2 linked regions of the Stegostoma tigrinum genome follow. The protein of the gene in region 1 purifies or fractionates together with the protein of each later gene. This does not show direct contact. Links are inferred from orthologs where the notes say so. Each region holds a gene or a part of one and is shown on either strand. Other genes may lie near its edges.

Evidence for each region.
Region 2: the proteins of regulating synaptic membrane exocytosis protein 1-like (region 1) and ERC protein 2 purify together in Homo sapiens (affinity purification with western blotting; 3 studies listed by BioGRID and IntAct, with this or other methods). This does not show direct contact. The link is inferred for Stegostoma tigrinum from reciprocal best matches to the Homo sapiens genes RIMS1 and ERC2.

The regions. Positions count from the first base shown.
Region 1 is NC_081357.1:82,286,996-82,294,678, forward strand, and holds the start of regulating synaptic membrane exocytosis protein 1-like, read right to left. Parts: upstream 3,012-7,683; 5' UTR 2,762-3,011; coding exon 2,607-2,761; intron 1-2,606. UniProt on the Homo sapiens protein: Rab effector involved in exocytosis. May act as scaffold protein that regulates neurotransmitter release at the active zone.
Region 2 is NC_081364.1:32,337,951-32,345,125, reverse strand, and holds the start of ERC protein 2, read left to right. Parts: upstream 1-4,164; 5' UTR 4,165-4,244; intron 4,245-4,354; exon of another isoform or gene 4,355-4,461; intron 4,462-7,175. UniProt on the Homo sapiens protein: Thought to be involved in the organization of the cytomatrix at the nerve terminals active zone (CAZ) which regulates neurotransmitter release. Seems to act together with BSN. May recruit liprin-alpha proteins to the CAZ.

The DNA of each region.
Region 1 (7,683 bases):
GATGAGGAGAAGGTTCGGAAATAAATAGGGAGAGAGGGGGAGGCAGATCGAAGATGGATAGAGGAGAAGATAGGTAGAGAGGAGAGTATAGGTGGGGAGGGGATAGGTCAGTCCGGGGAGGACGGACAGGTCAAGGAAGTTAGTAGGTTGGAAATGGAGGTGCGACTTGAGGTGGGAGGAGGGGATGGGTGAGAGGAAGAACAGGTTAGGGAGGCGGGGATGAGCTGGGCTGGTTTTGGGATGCCGTGGGGGGAGGGGGGGGGTAGATTTTGAAGTTTGTGAAGTCCACATTCATACCATTGGGCTGCAGGGTTCCCAAGCGGAATAGGAGTTGCTGTTCCTGCAACCTTCGGGTGGCATCATTATGGCACTGCCTACACTGGCCCCAAACCCCACCTCTTTCTCCGTTACATTGATGACTGTATTGGCATCACCTCTTGCTCCCAAGAGGAGCTCGAACAGTTCATCCACTTCAACACCTTCCACCTCAACCTCAAGTTCACTTGGGCCATCTCCAACACATCCCTCACCTTCCTGGACCTCTCTATCTACATCTCAGACAACCAGCTCAAAACCGATGTCCATTTCATGCCCACCGACTCCCACAGCTACCTAGAACACACCTCCTCCCACCCACCCTCCTGCATAAATTCATCCCCTATTCTCAATTCCTTCGCCTCCGCCGCACCTGCTCCCAGGATGAGACATTCCACTCCCGAACATCCCAGATATCCACATTCTTCAAGGACCGCAACTTCCCACCCGCAGTGGTCGAGGACGCCCTCAACCGTATCTCCCGCATTTGCCGCAACACATCCCTCACAACCCACCCCCGCAATAACCGCCCAAAGAAAATCCCCCTAGTCATCACATACCACCCTACCAACCTCCAGATACAACGCATCATCTTCCAAATCTTCTGCCATCTACAATCCCACCCCACCACCCAAGACATTTTTCCATCCCCACCCTTGTCCGCCTTCCGAAGAGACCACTCTCTCCGGGACTCCCTTGTCCGCTCCACACTCCCCTCCAACCCCACCACACCCAGCACCTTCCCCTGCAACCGCACAAAGTCCTACACTTGCCCCCACACCTCCTACTTCACCCCCATCCCAGGCCCCAAGATGACTTTCCATATCAAGCAGATGTTCACCTGCACATCTGCCGATGTGGTATACTGCATCCACTGTACCCAATGTGGCTTCCTCTACATCAGGGAAACCAAGTGGAGGCTTGGGGACCGCTTTGCAGAACACCTCCACACAGTTCACAATAATCAATTGCACCTCCCAGTCGCAAACCATTGTAACTCCCCCTCCCATTCCCTAGATGACATGTCCATCATGGGCCTCCTAAAGTGCCATAATGTTGCCACCTGAAGGTTGCAGGAACAGCAACTCATATTCCGCTTGGAACCCTGCAGCCCAATGGTATCACTGTGGACTTCACAAGCATCAAAATCTCCCCTTCCCCCACTGCATCCCAAAACCAGCCCAGCTCGTTCCCACGTCCCTAACCTGTTCTTCCTCTCACCTATCCCCTCCTCCCAACTCAAGCCGCACCTCCATTTCCTACCTATTAACCTCATCCCACCTCTTTGACCTGTCCATCCTCCCCGGACTGACTTATCCCCTCCCCACCTATACTCTCCTCTCTACCTATCTTCTCCTCTATCCATCTTCGGTCTGCCTCCCCCTATTTATTTCCGAACCTTCTCCTCATCCTCCTCTCTGATGAAGGATCTAGGCCCGAAACGTCAGCTTTTGTGCTGCTGAGATGCTGCTTGGCCTGCTGTGTTCATCCAGCTTCACACTTTGTTGTCTCAAATTTATGCTCATTATGTGTGGCAGATAGCGAAACTTCACGGTGCTACTTCTCTCTGCTGGCATATCTAAGTCACTTATTTGAAATGCTGATATTAAAAACCTGGAGCTGACTCCAAGCACAGTTTTAACAGAAGTAAACTACCTAATCATGTCTTTGGCCTGCTGGGTTTCATCATAACTTCGACACAACCTCAGGCCACCCCTAGCTAAGTGACTATTCAAGAGAATTAAGTACTTGCATCCAATACAATATTGTGGGAAGCAGCGTGCGCGCGCGCAGAAGGGGAACCGCCAGAGAGGAATGAAATTGAAGATGAATAACAAGCTTCGTATGTCTAGCATTGGTAGCTCCAAGATTTTAATTAGGATCGGTCATACGCTACCTGATTTATAAAAAAACACAAGAATTATCAGGTAGAGACGACTTCCTGCCGAAGAAGGCCTGAGCTAGATCGCTGGATTAAAGAACTCCCAACGTGATATCCTTCATCGTCCATTTTTTTTCATAGAACTACAGAACGGTGAAAACATTTGAAAACCAATGCACACACATGCACCTGGGGTAGGGTATCTGATTGACAAGTAATCAGAACAAAACAGACTATAAGCCCTGGCCTTTCGATCCATCAAATTCGGTTCGAATTAGCAAAGGTCGGCTTTAAAATGAAGTGTAAAACAAAACAAGTAGCAGATATGGGAGCGCAAGTCAGCCCCATTAAAGCATCTTCTGCGTTCTCACTGAGGGAGGGGAAGCGATAAATGTGTAAAAATTCTTACTTTAACATTGCTTCTTCCTTCTGCTCCTCCTCCCGCTGCCTCTGCAGCACGGCCATAATGATGCTCCTCTCCTCCTCCGTCAAATGGCTCAGGTCCGGCAACTCGGCCGGCACGCCCGGCGGCCGAGGACTGCGGGGGCCGAGCGATGCTGACATTTTCACCGGAGTGCCAGTCCAGCGCCGTCCCCTGGGGACATGGGCAAGAAGAGGGACACGTACAGCCAGATCCTGGCTGCTTGTGGTCAGTGAGCAGCGGCTGTACGCCGAGACAGCGCCGCTTAACTCACCGCTCGTCGCTGAGCGCTCAGCATCGTCTGCAGAACAGCCGCGCCCTCGGTCACAGCACCACCTCCACAAGCTTTATTTCTCCACCATCCGCTCTAACTGCTGTTCAGCCCAGCTTCAGCTGCTCCGCCCCGCCACTGACGCAAGAAAGCGTATGGAAGGAAGGGGGTGGAATTTCTCAGTTTATGCCCGAGATCAGAGATGCTACAGAGGGGACCCAGAACAGAGGGTATTGAAGCGGAGTAGGAAAACACAGCGCATCCACTCCCATCACATTGGGAAAATTGCAACTCGGCAACAAGGGTCTTGTGTGGCGGTGGACATTCTCAATAAAGTAGAGACTGTGCTAAAGTTACTGGAGACATCAAACGTTCCCTCCCATCCCACTTTCAACTTAAACCACAACTTAACCCCGAGCTCCTCCACACCAGCTTGCTTTTTATTTGTTAAATATTTGTCTTGAATTTTAATTTCTACTTTTAAGTTGTTAATCCATTGAAATTTGCGAGCTTTTCAACACAACTGACACACTATGTTTGCATTTTCTCATACCAAATGCTTTTAAATCGCTAGATTTATCAAGAAGGATAATACCCAAAACGTTGCCTGCTCCTTTCCTCGAGCCGCTGCCTTGGCTTGCTGTGTTCTTCCAGCCTCCGGTTTGTATATCATTACCCTAAATGTGCGAGGTCCCGCTCCGTAACGTTTCCTTCCACCCCCCCTTCCTTCGTCTTGTTTCTACAGCCCTTCAATGCCTGCAGTTCAATGGTGTATATATAGTACTCATAAGTGTAGATCGAATACATTATGTCCCCTCAATACACCTTTTACATTGTTATACCATGTAGGCAATTTCAATTTGCACTCTAATTGATAGATAGATTAATAGTTGATTGCTCGTATCAATGTTTTGTGCACTACAATTTTGATCAACATGTTCCTTTAATATTTCCCCAGTGGAAATATTGTTTGTTATTTAAAATTCAAAGCAAATTTGAATATCCAGCTTAGCCCTACATACATACATTAAAATCTGGAACGAAAGTCGGCACTTCAAGAGCCTTGATATGATATAAATTAGATACAATAATTTTTCAGGGGATTATGTACAATCAAGATATGAATTTGGTCGTTTCAGCCTTGTAGCCCGAAGAGCAGTAAATAGGGTCCTTACAAACTTACATGAATTTCCCACTTCCCATTCAGTGGTATTGCATGGTGATTTCAAATATCTTTTGTTCAGTTATATAGAGTCAACATACAGTGATGTTTTGTAACTAACTGAAACTTGCAATTCATAAAAATTAAATGTGGAATGTTTATATATTATATATAAAAATTGAATGGTATTCTATTTGTGAGTTGATTATGGCTTCCTGACTTAGGAGTTATGACTGTTTTTAATACAATCATGCTTCTGTTAGTTCTCATCTCTTAGGTTTGCTGTGATTGAAATAAATCTCTCCTACAAGTACTCAATCTCAAAAAGACTTGAAAACGAAATAATGGAGTCCAAAATGACCAGTGCAGTGCTGTTACTTTGGAGGTGGTAGGATTTCTCCAATAAAATGCCTGGTGAAAAGAATGACTTATTATTTTCCCTTCTGAAATTAAATTGTTCAAATGCTATTTTCCTTATTGTGTAGAATCACTGAATTGGCGTTGCATCAACTTACTCTTGAAAAGTATTTGAATACATCACCTTTATTCATCACACTAATAGTTGCAGAGAAGGGGAGGAGTGGATTGGGAGGCAGATACTAGAAAGGTGCAGAAGTCACAGGATTGTAGTCATGGGTGATTTCAACTTTCGAAATACTGCTTGCAAACTTTTAGGTTGTAATAGTTTAGATGGAGCAGATTTTGTCCAGTGCGTATATGGAGGATTCCTGACACAGTATGTAGATAGACCAACATGAGGAGAGGCCACTTCAGATTTGGTGCTTGGCAATAAACCGGACTGAGTGTTAAACCTGTTGTTAGAAGAGCATTTTGGCGGCAGCGATCATATCTCTGTTACTTTTACAATAGCCATGGAAAAGAATAAGTACATACAGCAGGGTAAGGCTTATAATTGGGGAAAGGGTAATTATAATTCTGACAGGCAAGAACTGGGTAACATAAAAAAGGAACAGATGCTGTCAGGGAAGAGCACTATACAAATGTGGAGATTGTTTAAGGATTGCATACTGCGTGTGCATGACATGTTTGCCCCTAGCAAGCAGGGAAGATGTGGTCAAGTGAGAGAGCCTTGGTTCTCAAGAGAGGTCGAACGACTGGTTGAGAGGAAGAAGGTCTCAGGCTTAGCAAACAAGGATTGGAAACGGCTCTAGAGGGATACAAGTTGGCCAGGAAGGAGCTGAAGAAAAGGCTTACAAGATCTATTAAGGGTGCATGAAAAAACCTTGGCACATCTCCACTGGAGTCGTACCTGAGGACTGGAGAGAGGCAAATGTAATTCCTCTCTTCAAGAAAGGAAATAGGGAAATCCCCGGCAATTGTAGACCGGTAAGTCTCACGTCTGTCGTCTGCAAGGTGTTAGAAAGGATTCTGAAGGATAAGATTTATGACCATCTGGAAGAGCATGGCTTGATCAAATACAGTCAACACGGCTTTGTGAGGGGTAGGTCATGCCTTACAAACCTTATCGAGTTTTTTGAGGATGTGACTAGAAAAGTTGATGAGGGTCGAGCTGTGGATGTGGTGTATATGGACTTCAGTAAGGCATTTGATAAGGTTCCCCATGGTAGGCTCATTCAGAAGGTCAGGAGGAATGGGATACAGGGGAACTTAGCTGCTTGGATACAGAATTGGCTGGCCAACAGAAGACAGCGAGTGGTAGTAGAAGGAAAATATTCTGCCTGGAAGTCAGTGGTGAGTGGAGTTCCACAGGGCTCTGTCCTTGGGCCTCTACTGTTTGTAATTTTTATTAATGACTTGGATGAGGGGATTGAAGGATGGGTCAGCACGTTTGCAGACGACACAAAGGTCGGAGGTGTCGTTGACAGTGTAGAGGGCTGTTGTAGGCTGCAGCGGGACATTGACAGGATGCAGAGATGGGCTGAGAGGTGGCAGATGGAGTTCAACCTGGATAAATGCGAGGTGATGCATTTTGGAAGGTCGAATTTGAAAGCTGAGTACAGGATTAAGGATAGGATTCTTGGCAGCGTGGAGGAACAGAGGGATCTTGGTGTGCAGATACATAGATCCCTTAAAATGGCCACCCAAGTGGACAGGGTTGTTAAGAAAGCATATGGTGTTTTGGCTTTCATTAACAGGGGGATTGAGTTTAAGAGTCGTGAGATCTTGTTGCAGCTCTATAAAACTTTGGTTAGACCGCACTTGGAATACTGCGTCCAGTTCTGGGCGCCCTATTATAGGAAAGATGTGGATGCTTTGGAGAGGGTTCAGAGGAGGTTTACCAGGATGCTGCCTGGACTGGAGGGCTTATCTTATGAAGAGAGGTTGACTGAGCTCGGTCTCTTTTCATTGGAGAAAAGGAGGAGGAGAGGGGACCTAATTGAGGTATACAAGATAATGAGAGGCATAGATAGAGTTGATAGCCAGAGACTATTTCCCAGGGCAGAAATGGCTAGCACGAGGGGTCATAGTTTTAAGCTGGTTGGTGGAAAGTATAGAGGGGATGTCAGAGGCAGGTTCTTTATGCAGAGAGTTGTGAGAGCATGGAATGCGTTGCCAGCAGCAGTTGTGGAAGCAAGGTCATTGGGGTCATTTAAGAGACTGCTGGACATGTATATGGTCATAGAAATTTGAGGGTGCATCCATGAGGATCAATGGTCGGCACAACATTGTGGGCTGAAGGGCCTGTTCTGTGCTGTACTGTTCTATGTTCTATGTTCTATAGGATCAAGGAAAACCCCAAGGCTTTTTACATATACATGAGGAATAAGAGAATGACCAAAGAAAGTGTAGGGTTGATCAACGATTGTAAAGGGAATTTGTGCACAGAGGCTAAAGAGATAGGAGAGATCTTAATGAATACTTTTCTTTGGCATTCACAACTGAGAGGTATCAAGTTGTAGGAAAGGACAGTGTTAAACAGGCTGGTAGGCTAGAGGAGGTGGATGTTAGTAAGGAAGGTGTACTAGGAATTTTGAGGAACTTGAAGATAGATAAGTCCCCCATGCCTAATAGGGTTTATCCAAGGATTCTATGGAAAGCGAAGGAAGAGATCGCACGGCCTTTGGTTATGATCTTTTCATCCTCACTGTCCACGGGTATGGCTCCGGAAAATTGGAGAGTGGAAAACATCATTTCCTTCTTCAAAAAAGGGAATAGGGTTAACCCCAGAAATTACAGGCCAGTTAGTCTTACTTCAGTGGTGGGCAAATTATTGGAAAGGGCTCTGAGAGATAGGATTTATGATCACTTGGATAGGCATAGTTTGATTCGTGATGGTCAACATGCATTTGAGGGGGGTAGATCGTGCCTCACAAACCTTATTGAATTCTTTGAAGAGGTGACCAAACACATGGATAAAGGTAGAGCAGTGGATGTGATGTACATGGATTTAAGTAAGGTGTTTGATAAGGTTCCCCAAGGTAAGCTCATGCAGTAAGTAAGGAGGCATGGGATAAGGGAAATGTGGCAGATTGGATTCAGGATTGGCTGACCCTTAGAAGACAAAAGGTGGTAGTGGACTGAAAATATTCAACTTGGTGCTCAGTTACGTGTGGTGTACCACAAGGTCTGGGTCCTCTTCTATTTGTGATTTTTGTAAATGATTTGGATGTAGGAGTGGAAGGGTAGATTAGTAAGTTCGCAGACAATAC
Region 2 (7,175 bases), on another chromosome or scaffold:
AGGGAGGAGAGGGCAGATAGAAGATGGATAGAGGCGAAGATAGGTGGAGAGGAGACAGACAGGTCAAAGAGGTGGGGATAGAGCCAGTAAAAATGAGTGTAGGTGGGGAGTTAGGGAGGAGATAGTTCAGTCGAGGGAAGACAGACAGGTCAAGGGGGCGGGATGAGGCTGATAGGTAGGAGATGGGCATGGGACTCAAGGTGGGAGGAGGGATAGGTGGGAGAAAGGACAGGTTAGGGAGGCGGAGACGAGCTGGGCTGATCTTGGGATGCGGTAGGGGGAGGGGAAATCTTGAAGCTTGTGGTCCACATTGATACCATTGGGCTATAGGGTTCCCAAGCGGAGTATGAGTTGCTGTTCCTGCAACCTTCGGGTGGCATCGTTGTGGCACTGCAGGAGCCCCAGGATGGACATGTTGTCTGAGGAATGGGAGGGGGAGTTGAAATGGTTTGCGACTGAGAGATGCAGTTGTTTAGTATGAACTGAGCGTACGTGTTCAGCAAAGCGGTCCCAAAGCTTCTGCTTGGTTTCCCCGATGTAGAGGAGGCCACAATGGGAACAGTGGATGCAGTCTACCACATCAGCAGATGTTCAGGGAAAAGTGCCTGGTGTGGCGGGGCTGGAGGGGAGTGTGGAGCAGACAAGGGAGTCACGGAGAGAGTGGTCTCTTCGGAAAGCATACAAGGGTAGGGAGGGAAAAATCTCTTTGGCAGGGTTGGATTGCAGATGGCACAAATGTCAGTGGATGATGCGTTGATTCCGGAGGTTGGTGAGGTGGTATGTGAGGATGACAGGGATTCTGTTTTGGTTGTTATTGAGGGGAGGGGATGTGAAGGATGAGTTGCGGGCAATGCAGGAGACACGGTCGAGGGTGTTCTCGACCACTGAAGGGGCAAGTTGCTGTCCTTGAAAAACGAGGATATCTGAGATGTACAGGAGTGGAATGCCTCATCTTGGGAGCAGATGTGGCAAAGGGAAGGAGTTGGAAATAGGAGATGGCATTTTTGCAGGAAGGTGGTTGGGAGGAGGTGTATTCTGGGTAGCTGTGGGAGTCAGTGGGCTTGAAATGGATATCGTTTTCTAGGTGGTTGCCAGAGATGGAAACAGAGAGGTCCAGGAAGGAGAGAGAGGTATTAGAAATGGTCCAGGTGAACTTAAGATTGCAGTGGAAGGTGTTGGTGAAGTGAATGAACTGTTCAAGCTTCTCGTGGGAGCACGGGGTGGTGCCAATCATCAGTCATCAATGTAACGGAGGAAGAGGTGTGGAATAGGGCCAGTGTACCTTCGGAAGAGGGATTGTTCCACGTATCCTAAGAGGCAGGCATAGCTTGTGCCCATGCGGGTACCCATGGCCACCCCCTTTGTCTGTAGGAAGTGGGATGAATTGAAAGAGAATTTGTTGAGGGTGAGGACGAGTTTGGCTAATGATGATGTCAGCCTTCCTGCTCCTCTGATACTGCTTGGCCTGCTGTGTTCATCCAGCTCTACATCTTGTTATCTCAGATTCTCCAGCATCTGCAGTTCCTACCATCTCAGGAGCAAAACATACCCAGTTTCTCAGAATATCCAGCAAGTCTGTCAGAACTGTGGGTTCTCCCCCTCTGCTAACGTCAAAGGAACCGCTGATGATGAGATGGACATGGCCGAGGTCACAGCCTTGAAGCCATTACTGCCTGAAGATGAATTTCAGATGAAATGCTCCAGGCACAAGAAGGGGGCTACGGTCCAGTACATGTTGCTCATGTCAGATTCAGAGGAACTGGACCTGGTGCAAAAACACTCCAGAAGAAACTGCTGGAAGAAAAGGGTGCCTATGTCCTAGGCCTTAGATGGACAGGGATGTTGTGACTGGAGCAAGGTCAGCCAGGTGGACCTCACAGAATATGAGTTCCCCGATTGGGGCTGTTAACCTGGTCCAATAGGAAATTCTAGCCGATAAATATAAACAAGTGCATCAAGGGTTCTGTTCACGCTGGCAGCCAGTTCTATGCTTGTTGGGTAAGTGTCATGTACAATGCACATGTAAGTAAAGGGTGACTTGGCGATGGGATACTGGCCTTTGTGGAGTTATTTGAAGGACCATTTCTATTAATTTAGGGCATCCTAATCCCTCTCTATAAAATTTAGTTACTTACTTTTGTCAGTATCATAGCAGTCATTTTTCACATCACCACATGTCAGAAGGAACAGGGAGATGAATGACTACTTGGAAAAAAAATTATGCTGTTTGAAAAATGTTGGCCAGCATCACTGGGACTCATTTTATAAGGGAAAAAAAACACTTCGCGAACTTTACCATCCACCTAAAGAGAAGACAGTTCCTCAATAAAATGTCTGCCACAGGATGGTAGATCCAACAGCTTCAGTCTGGATAATGCACTAAGGTCCTGGAGTATGCTCTAAACCCACAATCTATTTGCAAACATATTAGATTAGAATTCCTACAGCATGGGGGCAGGCCTTTCAGCCCAACAAGTCCACACTGCCCCTTGAAGCATCCCACCCAGACCCATCCCCCTATAACCCACACAATGGACAATTTTGTGTGGCCAATCCACATAGCCTGCACATCTTTGGACTGTGGGAGGAAACCGGAGCAGCTGGAGGAAACCCACGCAGACATGGGGAGAATGTGCAAACTCCACACAGACAGTTGCCCAAGGCTAGAATCGAATCTGGGTCCCTGGCACTGGGAGGCTGCAGTGCTAACCACTGAGCCACTGTGCCACCTGTTGGTATTTCTGTCCGATATATCTGTCAGTATTTCTCCATTTCTGAAGAAGGGTCGAACCATCAGCCTTCCTGCTCTTCTGATGCTGCTTGGCCTGCTGTGGTCATCCAGCTCTACACCTTGTTATCTCAGATTTTCCAACATCTGCAGTTCCTACTATCTCTGTCAATATTTCACAGTAGCTTTTACATTTTTATGCCCGGTGTTTGTATCAGACATCCATGTGATCGAAAAGCAAATCAGTGCTACTCAACCTGTTTTGCTTTTGGCATTCTGCCATACATACATTAGAACAGTAGCCGCTCCATTCTCACTCATCTACTATGGCAATAGTAGGAGTGGTTGTGATCTGTCCCAGGACAGGACGCTTGCTAATTTTGTCACACCTCTCTCTTTCCTCTTTGGCCTCTTGTAAGAGTCTTCCCCTTTCAATTTAATCCCCCTTCAATTTGAATGATCATTATGACAAGAGGAGGAGTGTTTCATGAATCCAGGTATGCGTTTCAGGAAACGTGACCTCATCCTGATCTTCTACCTGTGAGTAGCCATTCTCCCTCGAGTCTTTGGACCTTGAACCAAAATATATACTGACCGCATTGTTGCCTGTAGGTCCTACCACTGAGCGTGAGACCTTTACCTGGGCCGAGGGTGACTCTCAAAAAGGCAGGAAGATAACCTGCTGAAGTTTCTAATAACCTGGGCAATTTAGCAAATAACATGATGGTGGGTGCTGAAAGGAGGGAAAGCAAAGAAAACTTCTGTCGTGACAGCATTCAAATACATCTTCCCATTCATTAGGGTAATGTGCTTTTCCAGGAGTAAAGAGAGGTGGTAAAATAGGTGATTAAAATTAAGCAGCAAAGTTTTTTTTCAAAAACCGAAAGAACTGCGGATGCAGTAAATCTGAGACAAGGATAGAAATTGCTGGAAAAGCTCGGTTGGTTTGGCAGTATCTGCGGAGAGAAATCAGAGTTAACATTTCGGGTCGAGTGACCCATCCTGAAAACCCAGATGCTGCAAACTTATCGAGCTATTCCAGCAACTTCTATTTTTTTTCATTTGTTTTTGGATAGTAGAAGTAAAGTGTAGGGCGGAATGTATTACGGTAGCGTTGCCATTTCATAATTCCAGCCCACGCCCTCTAACTGTGACAAAACTTCAACCAAGGAGAATAAAAGGCGACTGTAGCCAGTGGAGATAACATGCGATTGTGAAACGAATAGGTAGTAATGATTTGTCAATTATTACTGTTAATCAGCTCTGAATCAGAAGTGTAGCCGTCACAAAAACTACGAGTACAACTAGTAACATACAACGTAAATGGTTGTAGTAAAAATAAACGGAGGAAAAAAAGCTTAAGGTCGGAATCCAGAAGTGTGACTGTGTCTTTAAATTTCCTGGCTGAATGGTGTGGTTCCAGCCAATTGTAGAGAAGGTGTAGAATGCTGGGAATGTTAAGTCAAGCCTGGCTGGGATAAGCTGAATGGTGAAGGAGTGAGGAGGGATTCCCGAGGTAAAAAAAAAACCCGGTTTTTATTTTGTGCTCGGTTTCCACACCCCCCCCCCCCCCCCCCCCGGCAAAGTGTCAAGGGGATCACCGCATTCGGGTTCAATGCGGCTATTGCCGGGTCTGTCTTAAGCAGCAGAATCCTGATGTGGCACATAGCTGAAGGGGGTTTAATATTTTGTGTTTGGTGTGTAATGTGAGGAGACAGATGCATTGATTGGAGGTGAGCGACTGGCTTTCATTATTGCAGCTACAAGGGGAAGGCGAGACGTCTTTTGTAAATAAAGGCAGCGGAAACGTGACATTTTCTGTGCTTTAAATATAAATTCACCAGCGTTTCAGTCCGTATTTTTTTTCAGCAGAAGGCCTCGAAATGCCATTTATATTAGACATACTGTGAATGCAATACTGAGCCAAAATGAGTACAGCAAACGCCCATTGTCAGAATAAATGGTTAGACAGAACGGTGTCTTTAATGTTTCTGGGATCGCCGTTATTAAATTTTTTTTTGCTGCTTGTTTGCTTTTGAGACAAAAAAACATCGCATTTGCTTAAAAGTAACTAAGGTTTAATGAAGGTATTGATTTCTAGGCGGTTTCCTGGGCACAGCCCTCTCCATCTACAGTCTGTAGAATCTGCTGCCTTTGCTTAACCTAGTAAAGTGGATGGTGGGGGATATTCAGATTGACATCTCATAGTGAATTCAGCAAGTTAAAATTTAGAAATCTCGAATTGTTTTGGCCAGTCAACGAGATCGGGGTTGGACCGTGTTAAGTTTGGCTGTAATTTCGGTTTCAGGCGAGCCGTCTGTTTTTTGGGGAGATTTGAAAAAAAGGGACATTGCAGACAATATTGGTCTTTAACCCATTGAAGATTTTTCCTGTAGCAACGTTTTATGAACTGTTATTTTCCATACAATCGATACTTGAATTATTTCAAACATGCCTTTGGGCATATGACATGTCAAATCAAATGAGTTTCCTTTTGTATAAGGTAGTCGCTGTTTTGCTTTGAAATATTTCAGGTCTATTTTTGAGTGTTTCACTGGCGTGTGAAAATCTTGTGATGCTAGAACTATGGTTGGTAGTCTCTAAGAGGCATTGCATCAAATCACTCATTGGTTGCATACAAATAATTTGAATTGTAATTCTCTGAAAATGTCTCCTTTTAAAAAAAAATGCTTTCAAACAGCCTAAGGACTGGTAGAAATGGTTTCAGTTTCAATTGTGAAACCTGTTGGCATTAGTAGTCCACAGCATTATTGTGTGCTACACAATGCTGCAAGTGTGGTACCTTAGAAATGTTGATACCAAAACCACTTGAAAGTAAGGTTATTTGCGTTGTCATGATTGCGTGCAGTTTTTTCATGTGCTGGGATCTGGATTTGAATCCATTTGTGGTAGGTAAAATAGAAATCTCTCTTTATATTTTCAGGCTTTTATTGCTTTTCATTTGATCAATTCTATTGTTGTCTGTACTCACGTGTTCACAACCTACAACCTACAACCTGTGCTAATTGTACTCAGTGGAAACCTTAGGATGCTAGAGGTGGAACAGTGGGACTAGGTCCCATGCTAAATAACTTGTATCTAAGTGATTGTAACCTGATATTGAAATAGTTAATTTTGGATAGGCGAGCAAAAGGGGGAAAACAAATCAATATCCCATCATTTTCTTTTAAGCCGAAAAATCACAAAATGAAAAAGAATGCATAATCTAACACAACTCTACATCTATCTGTAACCAAGGCAACATGGCATGCAGTGCTGTCACAGCCTGACATATTGTTCTTGAAAATTGCATTGGTGAGTTGACACCTTTTGCCATGGAATTTGAAGTCCTTTTTAAAGGACAAAATACTACAATGTATAAAAAAGTTACTTTTTATTTTTTAAAAAAGCAAAGAAATATATAAAATTAATGATAGAACCTCTTGTCAGTAAACTTTGCAACTCTAACCAATATTACTGATTATCAACACAATCAGATGTTGCCAGGATTGCAGGGTTTCCCTTTTTGGGAAAGGCTTAAGAGGCTCAGTTTTTTCCCCCAGATTGTTGGAGGCTGACGGTGACCTTAGCGGTTTATAAAATTGAGGGGTATGGATAGAGTGAGTAGCCAAGGTCTTTTCCACAGGGTAGGGGGAATTGAAAATTAGAAAGCATAGGTTTGAGGTGAGAAGGGAAAGATTTTAAAAAGGAACTGAGTGGGACTTTTTTATGCAGAGGGTGAGGGAATGAGCTGCCAGAGGTGGCGGTCGAGGTGGGTACAGTTACAACTTTTACAGGACATTTGGTTAAGTACATGAGTAAGAAATGTGTGGAGGGAAATGGGTAAGTGCAGGCAGGTGGGACATGTTTGTTTTGGGATTATGGTTGGAGTGGACTTTGGACCAAAGGGTCTGTTTCCATGCTGTATGACTCTGATGTATGAAAATGTTTTATGACAAATTCACTGACGTTACAGAAATATTTTGAGGTGAATACAGGTAATGTCTACTGTAATCACATTGTACTGTGGAAATTTGCGCATGTAACTTTTATTTGCACAGTGATCTGAATTGGGATGTATTGTTCATGAGAAATCTTGAAATGAAGCTGCAAGTATTTTTCACAGTGAAAGAGGACAAACCCTTTAGGCTGAATTGCCTAAAATGGCATGATGGAGGCCAAGGAGCATGTTATCAACTCCTATAGAAATAACAAATGGTAGAGGAATATTTACGGTGATTTAGGAAGAAATAAGTGACCAAAGTGGGAGACTTTAGAGCAAACTAAGTGTGTGTTGCCTTACATTTTTAATGCTACATATAGTAAGTCAAGTATTTTTGTTCACTGTATGTTTTTACCTGCTTCTCATGGATGAATGGCTGATATCCATTTATTTTGGATGTGTTTTTAAAACTTGTATCCCAGATTGTTGGTTAAGTAAAAGCAA